Mus musculus: one gene and its partners. The protein of the gene in region 4 purifies or fractionates together with the protein of the main gene of each other region. This does not show direct contact. Links are inferred from orthologs where the notes say so. Each region holds a gene or a part of one and is shown on either strand. Other genes may lie near its edges.

Region 1 (5,057 bases), on a different chromosome or scaffold from region 4:
CACACACACACACACACACACACACACAGTTTAAAATAAACCAAATCACACACACACACACACGGTTTAAAATAAACCAAATCTGTTGAGGTTTGGTCTGTGGCTATGAATTGTAATACTAAATACGGGACCCCAACATCGGGTTGCCCCGTATGAGGAGATCCTCACATGCATCAAGTGATGATGCTATGGAACCTTGCCCCCCAAGTTATCCCTAATTGGTCAATAAAGATGCCTACAGCCTGCAGCTGGGCAGAAGAGAGAGACAGGCAAGGTTTCCATTCTCAGGACTTGGGGGTCTGAAGCAGAGGCCATGAGGAAAGAGGAGAGAGAGAAATAAAGTCGCCATGGGATAGATGGACCGTGAGAGCATGGCCACAAGGGATGCCCCTTGGAGTAGGAGCAGCCCAGTTGGAACATGGAGAGTCCTATCTCAGGGCCACTGACAGGGGAGCAGACAAAATAGCATAGAGGGCTGGTATCTGCCCAGCTCTAAAGCTTTAAGGCTTATTGCAAATATAAAGGTTTGTGTTTTTATTTGGAAACTAAATGATCTAAGGTGGGTGGAAATCCTCAAATATTAACTACAACACAAATCTTTAAGGTAAGAGGGGGTCTGCAGATAGGTTTGGCAGCTGAGTCAAATAACCATAACATTTGTGAGGCTGAGGCAAAGGGTTAGAAATTTAAAGACAGTATGGGCTACATAGTGGTTTCAAGGTCAGCACAGGTACAGAGCGACTATGTGCCCCCAGACAAACAAAGAAAATTCTGTCTCAAAAAGAATCAACCCTGGCCAGGCGTGGTGGCACACACGGTTAATCTCAGCCCTCGGGAGGCAGAGGAAGGTGGATTTCTGAGTTCGAGGCCAGCCTGGTCTACAGAGTGAGTTCCAGGACAGCCAGGGCTATACAGAGAAACCCTGTCTCAAAAAACAAAAAGAAAAAAAAAGAAAAACAACAAAACCTTGACCTAGCAGTTTCACAGCTAGGAGCCAACACAAGAGTACTGCAGACTCCACTCAGTGAGAGCAGCATGCCTGTCAGAAGGGAGATCTGTGACAATGGACACAGAAAACATGCTCTGTCAGGCGTGTGTGTGTGTGTGTGTGTGTGTGTGTGTGTGTGTGTGTCTAGCCATGTGTGTATGTGTGTGTGTGTGTGTGTATAGCACACATATCTGTATAGTGTATATGTCTATATAGTGTGTGCAGTGTATGTGTATACTGTACAGTTTTTGTGTGTGCATAATGTGTGTGCATGTGCATATGAAGACCAGAAATCAACACTAGTGACCTCCCCTGTAGCTGCCTACCCAATTTTTTAGATAGATCTTTCACTGAACCTGGGGCTCACTGAGTAGGTAGCTGGGCTGTCCTGGCAGCCCATGGCTGGGGTTACAGGTAGAATACTGACACTCAGCTGTCTGTGTGCTGTGGACTCCAGACACCAGGTCCTCACGCCTGCACCACAAGCGCTTTACTAACTGAGCCAGCTCCCAGCTCCAGGCATTAAGTCTGACACTCACCACAGACAGACGAACAAACTCAAAACACACCTTACTGAGAGAAAGCTACAGACTTGGTCACTGCACATTCCACAGCGCTTCAGACAAAGCCTCAGCATGGGCCAGTGGGCTCCGAGGGGAGAGGGGGTGACAGACCTGCCCACAACACAGGGCGCACTCTCTCGGGGAGTGACAACAGTGCTCTGGAATTGGGTAGTGGTTAATGATCGCACACAAGAGTCCATCAAAAACCAAAAAACCACTGCCCTGCGCACAGTTAGCAGATCTGAGCTAGATATGGCGGTACATGACTGTATGGTGAAACTCAGGAGGCAGGAATCACCAAAAGTTCTACACCAGCTAAGGCTACACAGTGAAATCCTACCTCAAAAACAAACAGATAATAGATACTGTATGTCTGTCTAAATTCAGAGGCTAAGAAGCAGGAGAAACAGTTCAAGGTCATGCTCAGCTACCTACTAGTGAGTTCAAGGCCAGCCCAGGCTACACTGGACCACCTCAATAAGCAAATCAAAACAAAAGCAGGCAAGCAATCAGTCTGGGTTCCCTAGTGAGAGCCTAGCTCAAACTCTGAGTTTAAAGCTATTAACTGACCAATTAGGAGACAGGATCTGGCTGTGCTACAAAGTGGTCGTACATTCTTAACCCTGCCTAAGTTTCCCCAGTGCTGCACCCATAACGGCCCTTTAGTCCTTGTCCTCCTGTATGCCAGCCCATCCTCTAGCTCTACCTAGCACATTGGGCCACCATGGAGCCCGCCTTCAATGCTGCTTCTCTGCTTGTTCACAGCCTCCCTTCTCAGAGACTACATACATGTGCATGGGGTACATACATATGTAGACAAAACACCCATCCACATAGAATAAAAGTAACAATCTTGGAAGGATCCTTTGGGACAGCTTGGCCTTGCTTGGCTTACACTGCTTCAAAGGTGAACTTAGGGATGGGTATTTGGTGACCCAGGCAGGATGAGGCAGCTGTGGACGTAGGGGCCTGCAATCCCAGCATTAAATCGGAAGCTGGAGGGTCAGCGCAAGGCCAACCTGGGCTACATGATACCCTGTTTCAAACAAACACACAGAGCAGGCTAGCAGCCAACTCTGGTTGCTGTGATAAGGATGGAGACAGGTAATTTTGCATACAGTTCCCAGGGGCGTTTATTTCTAGGCCACCTACACTTTGATGTGTGGCTTCCCACAGCCTCTACTTGGACAAGCTTTTCTCTGCTCCCAGAGGCTATATTCCTCCCCCACCCAAATATACGACTCAGCCCCCTCCTGCCCCCCCCCATCATAAAAGGCTTTAGAAGCCCAGGCTGCCTAAGACCAACTCTGTCAGAGTTGGCTGCTCCTGGCTGGGTCTCCATGCGCCTTAATTACTGGCTAGCTTAAGACTCCATTAATTAATATTAACTCTTGCTCCTTTGTTCAAAATAAAGTCTTTCTTTTCTCTTTGACACAGGGTCTCACTGTGGAGCCCAGGCTGGCCTCAGACTTGTCCCAGTCCTCCTCCTTCCTACATGTGTCACTACGCCCAGATCAGCCACTGTCAAGAACCCCAGCAGCACCTGTCTACACTGCCAGAAATAGAAATCTCACCCTGGGCACAGCAGCCATGGTGACTTTTCTAAAAGACAACACTGCTCCTGTTATTCAACTGCCTGACAGACACCAGTTACCCCAACTTCCACAGGAAGCAGAGGCAGACTCCCCAAAGTCTCTCCCATGCTCTCTATCCCCCATCCACAGAGAATGCCTGATGGACCACACACCTATACCCAGAGCCTTGACACCTGCTGAGCCTTTTGCACAAGGCACCCAATATCCTCAGGTGACCACTGATTCCTGACTGTTCTACAACATTATCCATCACCCCCTGGAGAATCCCCTCTGACTTGTTAATGAAAGCCTTTTTTCAGAGCTAGGGAGATGGCTCAGTGGTTAAGAGCACTGACTGCTCTTCCAGAGGTCCTGAGTTCCCACATGGTGGCTCACAACCATCTGTAATGGGATCCAATGCCCTCTTCTGGTGTGTCTGAAGACAGCTACAATGTACTCATATAAATAAAATTAAAACAAACAAAAAGCAAACAAAAGGGAGACGTTGTTTCCACGCAGTGTCTTCTGTAGCCTAGGAACCACTGACTATCAGACCATGCCTTGAACTTCTGCTCCTCTTGCCTTCATACGAGGTTTACAGGTGCGCAGGTGGAAGGACCCCAGGGTCCTTTGCAGGCCACAGCTGCAGCCCACCTGTGCATCTTCAGGTACCTTGGAATTACAGACAGGTACCCCGGCACTTGGGAAGGCAAGGTCTCCTGCCACTGCTCTTTGAGAATCAGAGCCATGTTACCAACAGCTCGGCATGTAAACCGCTCAGGAGCCAGCCGGGAAGCTTCCTGAAGTAGTCAGGTGGCACAGCGTCACAATTGACCCGTCTGAAACCCTGCCTGTCCTCACCCAGCAGACACTGGACACCTTCCTGGCTGCAACACTGAGACTGTCCACCTCTGTTGGTGGCACCAGTGTCAGCCATCAGTGCTGCAGGCACAGATGAGGGAACAAGTCAACGTACCCACAGGAGACACTAACACTGTGTCTCTGACACACGACTACCGGGTGGGATGGGTCCTTACACCTTCTAGGCATCCAGGTGACATGAGAGAGACAGAGACTCTGGGGTCTAAAGCCGAGGTGGGAAAACCTAGGAAGGTGCCATAAACAAAGCTGGCTCTCATCTCCTGCTTGTGCCCTTTTGCTGTGGTCCCCAGTGCCTCACCCAGCCACCAGGATTCGGGGAATGTCTGCAGCAAAAGCCTCGCCCATCTCACGGCTGCCCACGTTAGCGATACAGTGCAAGGCCAGGCACATGAAGGTGGGGTTGCGACTGGCCAGGTCATTCTTGATAGCGTTGTTGATGAGCCGGATCAGTTCTGAGTTCGAGTTCACCAGGACTGAGATGAACAGGTACCCCTGTGGGGCAGAGAAGGGACAGCTGGGCACCTGTGGCTAAAGGGCACTAGACCAGCATGCAACAGCGTCTAAGTGGACCCGAGCCCACCTCCCTCTGCCCCTGCCCCTGTCTGGTCTCCTGCACTCACTATCTGCTTCTCCGTGTACTTGTTAGAGCTTAGCAGGTTCACGGCCTCCATATGTCCAAAGTCAATGTCATGGCCAAGCAGGAATATGAAGAGCAGCTTACACACATACTTCTTTTTACTGTAGCCATCCAAGGCCTTGTCCCCTGAGGCAGAGGATGGGAAAGGGAGCCAAGTAAGGAAGCGTCCCCTAAACACCTTGGGCCCTGGATCCCTCCCCAGGCCCTGGGCCAGCAGCTTGCCTTTGAACTTGGAACGGATGTTGGCCAGTTCCTTGTTGATCCTCTTGATCTCAGCCTCTTTGCTCTTGCCTGTGGAGAGACGGCAAGGCACACAAGGCCACAGGCAAGGTTATATATAAGCTTTCCGCCACCCCTTCCTCCTCCCGGTGGCCCATGAGCTGCAAGGTGCTGGGGCTTGTTTTGGGGGGGGG
Region 2 (4,665 bases), on a different chromosome or scaffold from region 4:
CTACACAGCAGCCAGAGGCAAAGCAGGGATTAAACTCACCTGAGCCTTCAGGACCCCGAGGCCCCAGCCCCAATGCTCTGGGCCAAACAAGTCTTGGCCTCTGATCTGGCAGGAAGCTGTCCCCAACTGTAACGTGGGTGGCATGAGGTGGCAAAAATTAAGTATTTGTCTGGCAGCAGTTTCTCTCTCCACCCAGGTCAGGTGGCGCAGCCTGGCCCTACAGAGCCACCACCCTGACCTCATCCCTGCAGACCAAGGGTAAAGCACGGCACAGGCAGAGGGGCTGGGTGTTAGTGGGGTGCCTGCTACAGACATTCCAGGCTCTTCAAAAGTATGCCAGCCATCTGCACGAAGCAAGGCTGTGACGGGGACCCTACGGGTGCAGGGCCTGCCTCCTCCAAGTGGCCACACTGGTAACCCACGTGCCACTCCCCGACAGGCCCTACTGCCCGCTGCTGCCCCAGTGTGTACTTTTCGGGAGGTCTATGTTAGGGCGCCCTGTCCCTTCCGCCCTGACAGTCTGGGCTGAGCCTGCATTTTATCTAGGTTATTTTCCAACAGTTGCTCCGGTACTCTGGGGTTTCCTCCACTCCTGCCCTCCTCTGGTCACCCTCTCCACAGCCGGAGGATTTAACTTTGTGTTTGCTGTGGTGTCCCTATCCTGTTGTCCCTCTGTCCATGTTGTTCCCCCTCACCTCACCCACCCCACCTCGCGCCCTCATGCTCTTCCCTACAGCTCCCTCTCTCACCAACCTGACCTACAAACCAAGGCTGAGTCACAGACCTGGGATCTCCAGGCACGAGCAAAGGCTCTAGTCAGCTTGTTTTGTGACCTTTGCTTGGTGGCTGACAAAGGTTGTGCCTTTGTTTCCCCATCTGACACTGACACACAGATGCAAACATAAAACCAGCACACACCACCCAAGGTCATTGCTAGATAGAGCTAACCTATGCAAAATGTCTGGTGAGCTGACACTTAATGCTACCTTCCCTGGTCAAGGGCAGCAGGAGCCCTCCAGATGGCCGTGCGAGATCCTGGTTTGAGTCCTGTCTCACTGTGCTCACTGAGGGGCCTTGGGGTGGGTGTGGTGGGAGGAGGCTGCTGGTGGCCTGGGAGTCCTGGATGATCCTAGTAGTAACATCTGCTCCCGCGCAGGGGACAGGTTGCAGCTCCTCGTGACCATGAAGCTCAACGAGCGCAGCTTGGCCTTCTACGCAACCTGCGATGCCCCGGTGGACAACGCCGGCTTCCTGTACAAGCGTGGTGGCCGTGGGACCGGCTCGCACCGGCGCTGGTTCGTGCTCCGGGGCAATATCCTCTTTTACTTCGAGGCAGAAGGCAGCCGCGAGCCGCTGGGCGTCATCCTGCTGGAGGGCTGCACGGTGGAGCTGGTGGATGCCCGGGAGGAGTTCGCCTTCGCAGTGCGCTTTGCCGGGGGCCGATCCCGGCCGTACGTGCTGGCCGCTGACAGCCAGGCAGCCCTGGAGGGCTGGGTGAAGGCACTGTCCCGGGCCAGCTTCCACTATCTGCGCTTGGTGGTGCGGGAGCTGGAACAGCAACTGGCTGCCATGCGCGAGGGAAGCCCCGCCAACGCCTTACCCGCCAACCCGAGCCCGGTTTTGACCCAGAGACCCAAGGAGAACGGCTGGGTAGTGTGGAGCACGCTGCCCGAGCAGCCCTCGGTAGCCCCTCAGCGGCCGCCGCCACTGCCACCCCGCCGCAGGGCCTCAGCGGCCAACGGGCCCTTGGCATCCTTCGCCCAGCTGCATGCGCGATATGGACTAGAGGTGCAGGCCCTTAGGGACCAGTGGCGCGGAGGCCAGGCTGGCCTAGCCAGCTTAGAGGTCCCCTGGCATCCTGGTTCTGCTGAGACTCAGACCCAGGACCAGCCAGCCCTAAGGGGACATAGTGGGTGTAAGGTATTACATGTATTCCGTTCCGTAGAATGGCCTGTTTGCAATCCAGGCTCCCAGGGGACATAGGACATATGACTCAGGAGACCTGTGCCCCTGGGGTCAGAGGCACTTACTTCTGAGAAGAATCTGGAACGTGAACCTGAGGGTGCTTCTAGAGCCCAAGGAGCTGGTTTCTAGAGAACTCCGCGCCAGGGTGGCCTGTGTGACCTTGACAGCCCCGAAGCTGGCCACAGGCCCATGGGGCCCAGGGTTTACCTGGTGCCTCTCAAGGATCTAAAGCTTGAACCTGGAAGCTGCTGTCTGGGCTGCTGTGGGCCTACACCAGTAGGTGGAATGTGGGACTTGAACTGGATAGGTCCCCCAGGCTCCTGGCCTGGAACCAGCTAAGTCAGGACTGTGTCCAGCTTTGTAGGTGAGCCCGGGCAGAAGCAGGGCCTCCCCTGACCTCGGTCCTGGCCTGGGACCCAGCTTCCTCCCAGTTTCACCTGGAGGAGACAGGCCTCCGACTGATTCCATGCCTGCAGCAGGGAGAGCCCAGGCACTGTCCCTAGCCACTGCAGGTGACCAGTGGGCCTCAGGACTGGGCCTACTTCTCTCTCACCACAGTGCTGGCTGTCTTCCAGAGGGTTGGGCAGGACAGCCGGCCCCACCTGGGTTCTTGTTTACAGTCCTCCTCAGTGCCCTGCCCTGAGGGGACACTCCAATCGCTGCATCCTATGAACAGATTTCACCCTGGCCCCTCCCTCTCCTCTGGGGGGTGGGGTGGCTGGGTCCCATGGGTGCTTCTGTCTGTCGCCAGGGCCTCTTGGCTCTCTGCTGGCTCAGGGGCCAGGGCACTTGGCTGTGGGTTTTTCTTTGAAGTACAGAGGCTACTGTCTTCCACCAGTGAAGTTAAGTAGTCCAGTCTCACCCCTGCCACTTTTGTTACTGTTGGCTGCAAGGGGTGGCATTGTCTCCAGGGAGCCAGGCCCTCGCAGGAGACACACGGGCGCCTAGCTGACTTGGCCCTGACTTGGCCCTCTGTCTCCTGAGCTCAGCTGTCTGCACAGGTGGTGCCTCTGGGGACTTGGTCTGTCTCCTCAACTCTCCCACTGGAGTCATACGGCTGAGGTGTAGACTCTAGTCTGGGACGGGCTTACAAACTCTAAAGGTACGGGGCAGGAGGTGGGGGAGACAAGGGCAGAGTTGTTCCCTCTCCCCAAAGCACAAGGTGAACACCAGCTGATTCTGGGGCTAGGAGAGTTATCAATCATGGACAGGGTATGAGGGCCAAAATAAAAGCCGGTCGAGAAATGGCTGGGTGTATTATTGTTCTCCCTGCAGAATCCACAGTTGATATATTTTGCGGGGTCCTAGAAAGGAGGGATTGTTGTCCTCTAGCTAGGCAGTCTCAGCACCTCTTAGGGAAGATGCTAGCCTCATCTTTGTGTGTGTGTGTGTGTGTGTGTGTGTGTGTGTGTGTGTGTATGTGTGTGTGTAGGGGGGTGGAGGTCCATAGAGGTTGCCAAGGCCGCACAGCTGGAGAGTCAGCTGGATGACCTCGGGAATAAATGGTGGACTACAGGGCCTAAAGAAAGATGAAAAGATGATTGACAGGTGGGCCGGGCCCAGTCGCCTGAGAGTTCGGAGGAGGTATGTAAAATGGGAAGGGGTCCAAGCCAAGGGAAGGGAAAGGAAGGGGCAGGCCCAGGGTAGCCCAGCATGATGGTTGAAGCCCAGGGACTTCCAAATGTAGCCTCAGGACGTGCCAGAGCTCTCCCTTGGCAGCCTGGAAAAATCAAGTGCCTTCCGGGACTTAATTCCGGGACTTTCGGATCTGAGCAAGCCACGTGTAACTCATGTTCAAATTCACTATGGTCAGGGGACCATGTGCCGCTGAGTGTACATACCGTGTCCTCCCATCGCCTGGGGCCACAGCCAACTGAGTCAGGCCACTGGTGACTACAGTCCCTCCTGGGCACAGGATCGGGGAAGTAGAAGGATTGGGGGGTGTGGGGAGGCTGCTCCAAGAGGCAGTGTCACAGGTGTGTCCTTATCAAAATACTCCTTGGAGTGACAGACAGGTGGCCTTGGGGACAAAGTCAATGCTGACATCCCTCTCTGCCCTCCTACTACGGTTATGTAGGCAAGGTCCAACGTATCTTGAGGCACGGTGTGGTCAGGAACATTCTAAGGGGCAGCTGGGGATGGCGGAACACTCAGGCCTGAGATCATAGGTACCTACCCCAAGTTATCAATCTATTTGGATCAGACTCTAGTTTGGCCCAGTGAGATGTTTGTGGGGGTCACCCAGTGTCCATCAGATAGTTGCTATGAGAAAAGTGACCAAGGTTGGGGACAATGTGGAGGGGTGGACCCTAGTGCAAGGTTGCTGCAGTGGGACAGCTAGACAGTTCCTCAGACAGTAAAGACAGAACCACAGATGACATGCAGGGACGTGAGAGGGTCTCAGGTCCTGTGTGTGGTCACAGCAGCATTATCTACCACGCTACATGCAGGTGAACCTCCTATCCCTCAGGGGGCTCTGGGCATGCATACCTGTGGGCCCTGGGGTCCCAGTGGACAAGGATGGTTGTGACATCTGAGAGAGGGCCAAGCAGACACCGGGCTGCTGGCTGAGCACTTCCAGAGCCTTGCATCATTACATCCCTGTTATCCATATCCCAGGGCCCGGGGCCCACAGTGGCAGAGAGGGCAGTATTTCTGGAACCCTACAGATTGGTTTCTGTTAATCCCAGCACTTGGGAG
Region 3 (5,057 bases), on a different chromosome or scaffold from region 4:
GGGATTCAATGCTTATTGTTAATCTACCAAAGACTATAAAGGAATGGGTGAGTTTGCATTAACTACATCCCGAGTCGTCTGCACTTGAAGATTTAGGGTTGCTTGTCTTTAATTTGGGGGTTGTGTGTATAAAGGGTATAAATGGCTGCAGATATGGTCGGGTAGATAAAGTACTTGTAAATGTGAGGACCAGAATTCACCCATGAAAATGCTGTGTAGCTGTGGGGACCCACCTGCAATCCATGGAAGGCAGAGGCACTGGGTTACAGGAGCTCTGTATTCACCGAGAGATCTTGCCTCAGTAAGGTGGAGTGTAATCCAGGAAGACTTTAGCCTTAGGTCTCTATATACACATACTGTACATACACACAAAAAGAAAATGTGTCTGTCTCTCTCTCTCTGTGTGTGTGTGTGTGTGAGAGAGAGAGAGAGAGAGAGAGAGAGAGAGAGAGAGAGAGAGAGAGAGAGAATGAGAATATTCCATGAATTGGTGTTATAAAAATTTAAATGCAAAATTGTGTGTCTAGCCCATTGCATTTCAACTTGATGGGCTGTGTTTTTTTTTCTCCCAAGTACTCTTAAGTCTTTTCCTTTCATGTTTTTTTTTTTTTTTTTTTTTTTTTTTTTTTAAAGATTTATTTATTTATTACATGTAAGTACACTGTAGCTGTCTTCAGACACTCCAGAAGAGGGCGTCAGATCAGATCTTGTTACAGATGGTTGTGAGCCACCATGTGGTTGCTGGGATTTGAACTTCAGACCTTCGGAAGAGCAGTCGGGTGCTCTTACCCACTGAGCCATCTCACCAGCCCTTCCTTTCATGTTTTATTGTTTAGTCATGATGGCCAGGTCTTCACTGATTTTTATGTTTGAAAGAGGGTCTCTCACTATATAGCCCTAGTTGTCCTGGAACTTGCTGTATAGATAAGGACAGTCTTGAACCCACAGAGTTCCACCCCTGCTTTTGCCTCCTCAGTGCAGGGACTATAGGCACTAAACACCATATTTGGCCAGAGGACAACTTTTTATAGTTTCTTCCTTCTATCATGGGTTCTAGGGATTGACTTCTGGTTGTCAGGTTTGCATAGCTTTTGCTGGCCTATCTTGCTTGCTTTTCCCCATTAAAAAATATTTTTATTAAGTGAAGTGTATATGAATGCATGTGCCCAAAGAAACCAGAGGCACTGGGTGCCTTTGAAACTAGAGTTACAAGCATTGGTAAACCACTTAGTATGGGTCCTGGGAATTGAACTCAGGTTCTCTAGAAGACCAATATATCCTCTTAACCATTAAGCCATCTCTCCATGCCCCTTCTCCGCTTAGAAAAATGAGTTTTATTTTAAAGGTGTTTAGAAACATTTTCCTTACGTTATTTTTGCTGAGCCTGAGATAGCACCTCCTTGTTACCCTAGGGCATGGCCGAGCCTGGTCTGTGACAAATACTGCAGCCATGAAGTAAGCTCTGGGCTCTGGACTCTATATTTTTTACCAACAGCCTAGAATAGCCTAGCATAGCTTATGTTCTCAAAGAATTTAGAATTTTGGTATTAGTACTACCTGCTAAACCGTAGGCATTATCTTCTCTTCTGGATTTTTAACATATTTGATACCTGCAATGCAATTTAATAATGTAAGCATTAAATACTGCAATTTAATAATGTAAGCATTAAATACTGCTGGCATCTCAAATCCTAATAATCTACAATTTTCTCCTGTACTTTCTCCCAAGTATGTTTTAATGGAATTGTTTGCCTTCTCTGATTGTTTTCTATAGTGGGACACAGCAGGCCAGGAAAGATTTCGAACAATCACTTCCAGTTATTACAGAGGAGCCCATGGCATCATAGTTGTGTATGATGTGACAGATCAGGTAAGTTTCTAGAGAATGTTACATGTTACCAACAAAGTAGAAAGTAGTGTATGTGTGTGGATTTTGACACAATCTCACTGTGTAGTTCTGGCTGACCTGAACTCACTATGTGGTCAGGCTGCCCTTGAATGCTTTTGAACAGCCCTGAAACTTTTGACTAGAAATTTATTTTTACTAATCGAGAAATAAAAACAACTCATTTTCTTATAGCAAATGTTAAATCTGAACTATCTGAATTATATTGTTAATTTGGAGATAAATTAAGAGATTTACCATACAAGCAAAAGATAAGCGAATATGAATAGGGAAAGAAAATGCTACATTAGCATGATGTCATGTACCTTCAGCTACTTGGGAGGCTGAAACAGGAGCTCAGGAGATTGAGACCTGTCTAGGCAGCAGAGCAAAACCTCATCTCAGTAAAGCAAACACCCAAAGCAGGCATAACTGGTTAATTTTAAATATGTAATCTATTACCATAATTTGTTTGTTCTTCAAGACAAGTTTCCCTGTGATCTTGGCTGTTTATAGACAAACCTGACCTTGGGCTCAAAGATCTGCCTGCCTCTGTCCCCTAAGCACTGGAACTAAAGGCATTCACTACCATGCCCAGCATATTTTTATGTGAAAAAAACAAGGAAAATTGTCACCTGTTTTTTTATAAGATTTCTCTTCCGCATCCCACATCTTGTTTGTAGTGGGGTTTAAGATCAGGGCTTTCTGTATGCCCAGCAAATTGTCAGCACTGAGGTGCACCTAGGCCAAATAATAGTAGCGATACTGTTGTTTTTCATAACCAGTTTTTTGTTTGTTTGTTTTTGAGTCAGGATCTCACAGTGTAGTTCTGGCTGGCCTGGAGCTCAAGAGCTCAGTCTGTATCTGTCTCCCAAGTACTGGAATTAAAGCTGTGCCACTGCACCCAGCTTTTATTTATTTAACAGGATTTTACTGTTTCAGAAACTAGGTCTTGACAATATTTTAAAATTTCAATTTAAAATTGGGCTTGCCTGTCATTAAACTTCAACTGTTTCCCCTTCCAAATAAGCTCTTTTCACTTCAGGCCTTTGAGTCTTTCTTATCATTGACGGGGTCATTGACGGGGTGTATACCTCAAGTTAGTTGATTTCTTTCCTTAGTTAGAGCAGCAGTGGCCTCGAGCAACTGCATCACCATTCTTCTCTCCCTAGGAGTCCTTCAATAACGTTAAACAGTGGCTGCAGGAGATAGATCGCTACGCCAGTGAAAATGTCAACAAGTTGTTGGTAGGGAACAAATGTGACCTGACCACAAAGAAAGTAGTAGACTACACAACAGCAAAGGTATGTATGAGGTTTGACTTTGACACTGAATTTAATTATGGGGACTGCCTCACCCTGTAAAAGCCAGTGAGCTTAGTCCCCCATTCCCATTTCAGAAGACTAAGTCAGAAGGATTTTCCATTGTTCACTGTGCCTTATTATTCTCTCAGGAATTTGCAGATTCCCTTGGAATTCCATTTTTGGAAACCAGTGCTAAGAACGCAACGAATGTAGAACAGTCTTTCATGACGATGGCAGCTGAGATTAAAAAGCGAATGGGTCCTGGAGCTACAGCTGGTGGTGCCGAGAAGTCCAATGTTAAAATCCAGAGCACTCCAGTCAAGCAGTCAGGTGGAGGCTGCTGCTAAAATCTGCCTCCGTCCTTTTCTCACAGCAATGAATTCGCAATCTGAACCCAAGTGAAAAAACAAAATTGCCTGAATTGTACTGTATGTAGCTGCACTACAACAGATTCTTACCGTTTCCACAAGGTCAGAGATTGTAAATGGTCAATACTGACTTTTTTTTTTATTCCCTTGACTCAAGACCGCTAACTTCATTTTCAGAACTGTTTTAAACCTTTGTGTGCTGGTTTATAAAATAATGTGTGTAATCCTTGTTGCTTTCCTGATACCAGATCGTTTCCCGTGGTTGGTTAGAATATATTTTGTTTTGATGTTTATATTGGCATGTTTAGATGTTGGGTTTAGTCTTCTGAAGATGAAGTTCAGCCATTTTGTATCACACAGCACAACCAGTGTCTGTCAGTTTCCACGCATAAAGTTTAGTGAGACGTTATATGTAAGATCTGATTTGCTAGTTCTTCCTGGTAGAGTTATAAATGGAAAGATTACACTATCTGATTAATAGTTTCTTCATACTCTGCATATAATTTGTGGCTGCAGAATATTGTAATTTGTTGCACACTATGTAACAAAACTGAAGATATGTTTAATAAATATTGTACTTATTGGAAGTAATATCAAACTGTATGGTGATAAGTATTGTTTTAATTCCTATGATTAAAGGGAAATAGAGCTTTGCATTCTACTCAGCAGCCACGTGTGTGCAGCAAGGGCACTGTAGACCTATCTTAATAGCACAGCATCCAGGGTTTGCTTTCTAGTAATAGGTCTGATGAGTGACCTAGAGAAGCTTTTGTGCTGTGTAGAGACTTCACCACCTTCATTGGTTCAAGGAACTCAAACTCTAGTGCTTCATCTCCAGCCCAGGCCACCTGAAGTGGCTTCACCAGCAACCCTTTTTTCCCTCATCTGTGGTAGAGATGGAGAGCAGCCCATGCTTCCTCCCAGGCAGTGATCTGGTAATAGTGCTGGTGTTTCTTCATGCTCAGTCTGATGGCGCACACACCTTTTTCTTTCTTTTTTCTTTTTGGCTATTGGAGATAGGGTTTCTCTGTGTATCCCTGGCTGTCCTGGAACTCTCTCTGTAGACCAGGCTGGCCTCGAACTCAGGGATCCACCTAGCTCTGTCTCTGAGTGCTGAGACTGAAGGTGTGCGCCGCCACGCCTGGCTTTTTTCCCCTTTCTTTTTTGAGACAGGGTCTTACTATGTAGCCCTGGCTAGCCTGGAACTTAAGTATGTACAACAGGCTGCCTCCCCCTCCCCCATTCACCTGCCTTTTCCTCAAAAGTGCTGGGATTAAATGATGTCCCAGACTGCACCTATTTTTTGAGACAATGTCTCATATAGCTCAAGAGGCCTCAAATTCACTTGTAACCAAGGATGCCCTTGAACTCCTGATCCTCCTGCCTCCACTTCCAGGTGTCAACTTTATTCTTTCCAATTGTATGAATCATGTTGGTGGAGAGTTTAAGCATTAGAATAGAAAGCAGGAAATGTGATTGCCCTAATTGTAGAAATTCTAT
Region 4 (5,057 bases):
GAAGAGATGAGGGAGCTGGAAAACCATTTGATGGTGGATGTTTTCCTGGCCCTCTCCTTGGATGGTACAAGATACTACTGATGGAATCAGTGCCCAAGATTGTACACACAGCCTATATGAGCGCCTTACATCAGATGTTAATAGGCAAGAATGACACGACTTGGGTTGGTTTGGTGAATGAAACCAAGCAAGTCAATTTCACCAGGCAGTTTTGCAGCCAGAAGCTGGCAGCTGGTTTGTCAGTCAACAAAGTAATTTTTAAAAAGTTTGTCTGTCCCACAAAGCTTGAATAAAATGAAAACCTTAGAGTCATTTCAAGTGGAAGAGGTAATGTGTGTGGCTGGTCCCACGGACCAGTCTCTCTTACACAGCACTTGATATAGTGTCAAGGAGTCAAGGGCAGTCTTTTTAAGTCTTTGCTTGAAGGAGGCGGATGTGGAGCTCAGAGTGAGCCCTGTTGAGAGAGGCCAGTAACTTTCCCCGACACTTTAGGAGATAGGAGAATGGGTTCTGAGGGTTACCCTCAATGCTTGGTTTGGAGGGCGAGGAAAGCTCCTGGGACCTCACTTGAGGTGCACAGACTTCTCTTTTGACTGTGATGCAAACATGACTCTGGAAGTGGGTTTCTAGTGGGGGAGATGGGGACCAACATGCAGGATTGCTCCGCATGTCAAGTGTGGATAGTAGCCGGGCACGGGGACTGGGAAGCAGGGATGTTTTCATTCTGATATACTCACAGTGCTTTCCTCGCTGTTGTGATGTTTCTCACATCAGTGGGACGCCATCTCTATAGTCCATAAAATTATGTAACTAACCATGGTCTGAGACAAGGGAATCGGGCTCCACCAAGTGTGGTTCCCCACGAAGGCCAACATTACAGTGACATACAGATATCATTGTAGTAGAACTGCACAAACGCTTGTAACAATCACATGGAGACAGTGAACTTCACTGTTCAGGACACCCACAGAGTCACTAGCCTCATCCAGGCTTCCTTCAAAGTGAGAGCATGGAGGAAGTGTGCAAAGTAGTGACATGAGGAGAGGGTGGGTCCAAAGTGCATCATACAAAGAACTGTAGACAAGTCTGAGCTATAGCAAGTAGTACTTGTAGGCTTAGAACAGGAAGGCCTCTCAATCCAGGCCTAGGGTATTAAAGATAATCATGAGGACTGGGAAGCAGGGCAGAAAACATACCCCTAGGTAAAGGTGTGTAAATACAGACCTCTTTGCTTTACAAAGAGTAAACACAAAAACACCGAAATATGGTAACTTTGGCTTGGCAATATATGTCTAAAAGGATTTTGCTGTGTAGGATATGGTAAGGAAGGATTAGGAAAACTCTTCCCTTTGTACTACTAACAGAATGTAAGATCCTACAGTAGACCCTTTTTGTGTGATAACTTTTCAGATCATTTTGAAGTAGTCGGAGCCCAAGGTCTTCCTCCTCTAGAATCTCGGATAGGAAAAGACTTAGTCTTCCTCGTTCCCAAGCAGGAAGACCAAGAGGAACTGGATGGCATGCTGGCGGTCATTTGGAGTCTGTCTTGTCATGAGGTTTGGTGGAGGTCTTAGGAGAAGGCTACTGAACAGGGTAGCTAGAGGGTGGAAGAAAGAAAAGGGGAAGCCCACTGTCAGACATTACCTAAGCAAAACCTCAAGGCTCGGGGTGCAGGGAACAAGAACAGCAGGAGGGAAGGGACTGCCATGTTCCCAAAAATCAAATATGGTACACATTATGCACAATGCATCCAGATTCTGTCCAACAAGCACTCTGCACAGACTCTCTCATGAAGCCCCCTTACCAATCATGTTGGTGTTGATATTGTTGTAGTCAGAGAATTTTAAGAGTTCACGAAGGAATGCCATCAAGTAGCGGAAAACATTTCTATGGCACCTTGGAAGCTGGGAAATGACCTGTTTTTTAGAGACGAGTGTGTAAGAAGGTTAAATGGCTCATAGGGAATGAGACTCCAAAGCTGCCATAAGAACAATTTGTAACCCAACTGTTAGAAGCCCCATTTGTCTGTCACTACCCTCTATTATCATAAGCAGTATTTTACGTGCCAGATTATGACTCTGGAGTAAGTATGGTTTGGTTTCTCTCTATTCAAAGACCAGGCCATGTAGTCAGCACAGAGTCACGTTCACACAGTGCCTCACCAGAAGGAAAGTGTCCATCTGTTATTTTTCCTTTTCCCCTCACAGCAAAGGCATCAGTCAACTTGTTTTTCTCTAAAATGCCACTTGGCGATGATGGGTACCTCCTACCAACACTCACTGATGTGATTCATAGCTAGGCTCAGCCATTGTGGACCACAATCTTTGCAAGATCCAAAACACATCAAGAAGGAGAGAAGGAGGAGGTGGCGGTGGCTCCCAACTGTCATCTACCCTTTCAGCTAATGACAACTAGAACTGCACTTACAATTCATTTTGCAATCTCACTCCAGGGTGAGAAGTATCCACCTCACTATGTTTTTCTGTTAACAGAAATAGGCAAGCTAGAAAATATTCGAAAATAATACTACCTAAATTCAACTTTACTCATTTAGGGGGGGTGGGGCTGGGGAGGGGCCATGTGGAGATCAGAGAACAACTAGTAGGGGTTGATTGTTTTTCTTCCATCACTTGTGTTCTCTGGATCAAACTTAGGTCAATAGGCTTAGTGGCAAGTACCTTTACCCATTGAACCATCTCACTGGCTCCCTCAAGGATCTTAATTTTTAGCTATGGTGTCCTATCATAAATAACCGACCCAGGCCCATTCTATCATAGAGCTTTGTAAAACTGACCGTTTCTCTATGGGAGAATCTGCACTGAGCATATCCTCAGAGCACCAAAACTCACCTGTTTGCAGATCCGAGGATCATGAGCAGAGTCAAGACATCGCTGATACAGCTCATAACAGATGACTGGCTCTGGCAGAGCTTCCAGGAAAATGAGCAGTGCTTCAGCCACAGAATGGTTATTGCCAGCTGAATTACCTTGAGTTAAAGGAAGAGGAACCCAGAAAAAAAGCCACACAGACACCTGTCTGGCTCCCTTCCTCAAGCCTCTACAGGGATGGTTTTTCTCTTCTCTTTCGGCACACACTATCCCTGATTGTGGTTTTATAGTGGTCCAGGTGCTCTGCAGCTGAGTCGGTACAGAATTTCCCAGTCCCTTGGGAGGTTTCACTATAACTAGAGACTTGGAAAACATAGCCTGCACCATGACAGGGTCCACTGGATGGGTTATAAACTAGCTGCCAGTGTTTCCTCTCATTCTTCTTCCTGCCCTCTGAAAGCACATGGCTGGGAAGGTTAGCAGGAACGACCAACTGGCAGAAGAACACTCCTGGTGCTAGGGCTCCTATGTCCAGTGCTCATTAGAATTTGTTGTTAGGTTCCCCTTGATCCCTCTTAGTCTGTTTTGACACAAAGGGAGACTAAACGTTCCTGAAATGTCTTGAGAAAACAAATGGATAGTCACTGACTATCTTAAAATAAGGCAATGGAAAACATCCGGGTAGAAAGACAAGCATCAAGTACAGGGGAGAAAAAACTTTGCCCAAGTATCTGTCCATATTCTCAAGCCCTGGGCAGAAAGGATACGAATTGTCTCAGGAATGCTGGTATCCAGGCAATCAATGATCTGCTGTAACTCCTCCTGCATTCCAGGGGTTTGGAACAAGTCCTCCTAGCAAAGAAGGATGAATGAAGGGGACAAGACAAGATAGCCAGCCCCAGTTCTGAGCTGGTCCAGAAACTAGGAGAGCAACAGGCCAAAAAGTGAAGGGTGGCACATGTATTAACACTTAGGGAAGGAAGTTTGCTCATAGTATTGCTTTCCTTTAGTATTTCTATAATCCATGTGAAATGTTATTTCAAGCAAGAAAATGACCTGTCAGAAAAATGACATTTCACTCTCTACTTGATAAGGCAAGAGACTAGATGGCCAGATCAGGAAGCCCAGTAGTGCACCAAGGAGCCTCTAGGAAACACAGTGTACCCTGCACAAGTGCAGCCATTGACAAATGTGGACAGAATTGGATGAAGGGAAAAGTGTGAATGGCACATTCATGATACAACTTGGCTTCTGAGTTATAGTGCTCTTAGTAGATCTGAGAACATCACCCTTCAATTTGGTCAAAGAAAGTTCTATTTTTAAAAAGAGGAATGAGTTGGGAGTAGCTAGGGTTTTAGCATAGGGTTTAAAAGAAAACCCAGTGTTCTGTTAAAGAAATGGGCTTGAAGTCACTATAATAGTCAGAGTACTCAGTTGTTCAGAGCAAAGCGTATAAGCAAGGCATGGACATTCTCAGTTCTGTTCCTGCCTCTGCCCTCAGACTCAGAGTTAGCTTAGCTTGTATGCTTTAGTGCTCGGACATTATAGCCACATGGAGGCTTCCTGGCATGGTTAAACGCACTATGTGGATATGAAGCTTAATTTCCTATATGATTCATATACACGCTGCAGTTGCAGGGAAGGTTTTCCCTCACTTACCTGGTGACATGCATATTTGAACAAGTGATCTACTAGAAGCCAGATCTCTTTGGGGACTTGAAGGGGTCGCTCACTGGTACCTTCATCCAAGGGTACCATCTGCAGAAGGGATTTCTCCTAACAGATGAAAAGGGATTAGAATCAAAGGGCCTCAGAAGAAAGCATTACATCTCCTTCAAAACCTTCTCGAGTGGATACAATGTGATCTTTGTCTCTTTTTTTAAATTTTTTTATTAGGTATTTTCCTCATCTACATTTCCAATGCTATCCTAAAAGTCCCCCATACCCTACCCCCACTCCCCTACCCACCCATTCCCACATTTTGGCCCTGGCGTTCCCCTGTACTGGGGCATATAAAATTTGCGTGTCTAATGGGCCTCTCTTTGCAGTGATGGCCGACTAGGCCATCTTTTGATACATATGCAGCTAGAGTCAAGAGCTCCAGCTTGAGTCTGGCGCCTTGGACCACTCCTGACACACCCGTGATCTTTGTCTCTTAAGCTTTTGCCTTTTTTTTCCTCATAGGAGACATGCATGCTTAGAAGGCACTCAGTAATGATTGCAGCAGTT

What was found.
Region 1: the proteins of Ocrl (region 4) and Ap2a1 purify together in Homo sapiens (affinity purification with mass spectrometry; 3 studies listed by BioGRID and IntAct, counting the BioPlex papers as one, with this or other methods). This does not show direct contact. The link is inferred for Mus musculus from reciprocal best matches to the Homo sapiens genes OCRL and AP2A1.
Region 2: the proteins of Ocrl (region 4) and Pheta1 purify together in Homo sapiens (co-immunoprecipitation; 5 studies listed by BioGRID and IntAct, counting the BioPlex papers as one, with this or other methods). This does not show direct contact. The link is inferred for Mus musculus from reciprocal best matches to the Homo sapiens genes OCRL and PHETA1.
Region 3: the proteins of Ocrl (region 4) and Rab1a purify together in Homo sapiens (co-immunoprecipitation; 3 studies listed by BioGRID and IntAct, with this or other methods). This does not show direct contact. The link is inferred for Mus musculus from reciprocal best matches to the Homo sapiens genes OCRL and RAB1A.

What each region holds. Positions count from the first base shown.
Region 1 is NC_000073.6:44,911,536-44,916,592, forward strand, and holds part of Ap2a1 (AP-2 complex subunit alpha-1), read right to left. Parts: intron 4,936-5,057; coding exon 4,867-4,935; intron 4,771-4,866; coding exon 4,628-4,770; intron 4,500-4,627; coding exon 4,306-4,499; intron 1-4,305.
Region 2 is NC_000071.6:121,851,395-121,856,059, forward strand, and holds the end of Pheta1 (sesquipedalian-1), read left to right. Parts: intron 1-1,156; 5' UTR 1,157-1,182; coding exon 1,183-1,983; 3' UTR 1,984-3,210; downstream 3,211-4,665. UniProt on the Homo sapiens protein: Plays a role in endocytic trafficking. Required for receptor recycling from endosomes, both to the trans-Golgi network and the plasma membrane.
Region 3 is NC_000077.6:20,221,310-20,226,366, forward strand, and holds part of Rab1a (ras-related protein Rab-1A), read left to right. Parts: exon of another isoform or gene 1-399; intron 400-1,557; exon of another isoform or gene 1,558-1,774; coding exon 1,775-1,870; intron 1,871-3,057; coding exon 3,058-3,189; intron 3,190-3,338; coding exon 3,339-3,536; 3' UTR 3,537-5,057. UniProt on the Homo sapiens protein: The small GTPases Rab are key regulators of intracellular membrane trafficking, from the formation of transport vesicles to their fusion with membranes.
Region 4 is NC_000086.7:47,960,000-47,965,056, reverse strand, and holds part of Ocrl (inositol polyphosphate 5-phosphatase OCRL), read right to left. Parts: intron 4,605-5,057; coding exon 4,488-4,604; intron 3,681-4,487; coding exon 3,596-3,680; intron 2,978-3,595; coding exon 2,850-2,977; intron 1,917-2,849; coding exon 1,805-1,916; intron 1,598-1,804; coding exon 1,473-1,597; 3' UTR 1-1,472. UniProt on the Homo sapiens protein: Catalyzes the hydrolysis of the 5-position phosphate of phosphatidylinositol 4,5-bisphosphate (PtdIns(4,5)P2) and phosphatidylinositol-3,4,5-bisphosphate (PtdIns(3,4,5)P3), with the greatest catalytic activity towards PtdIns(4,5)P2.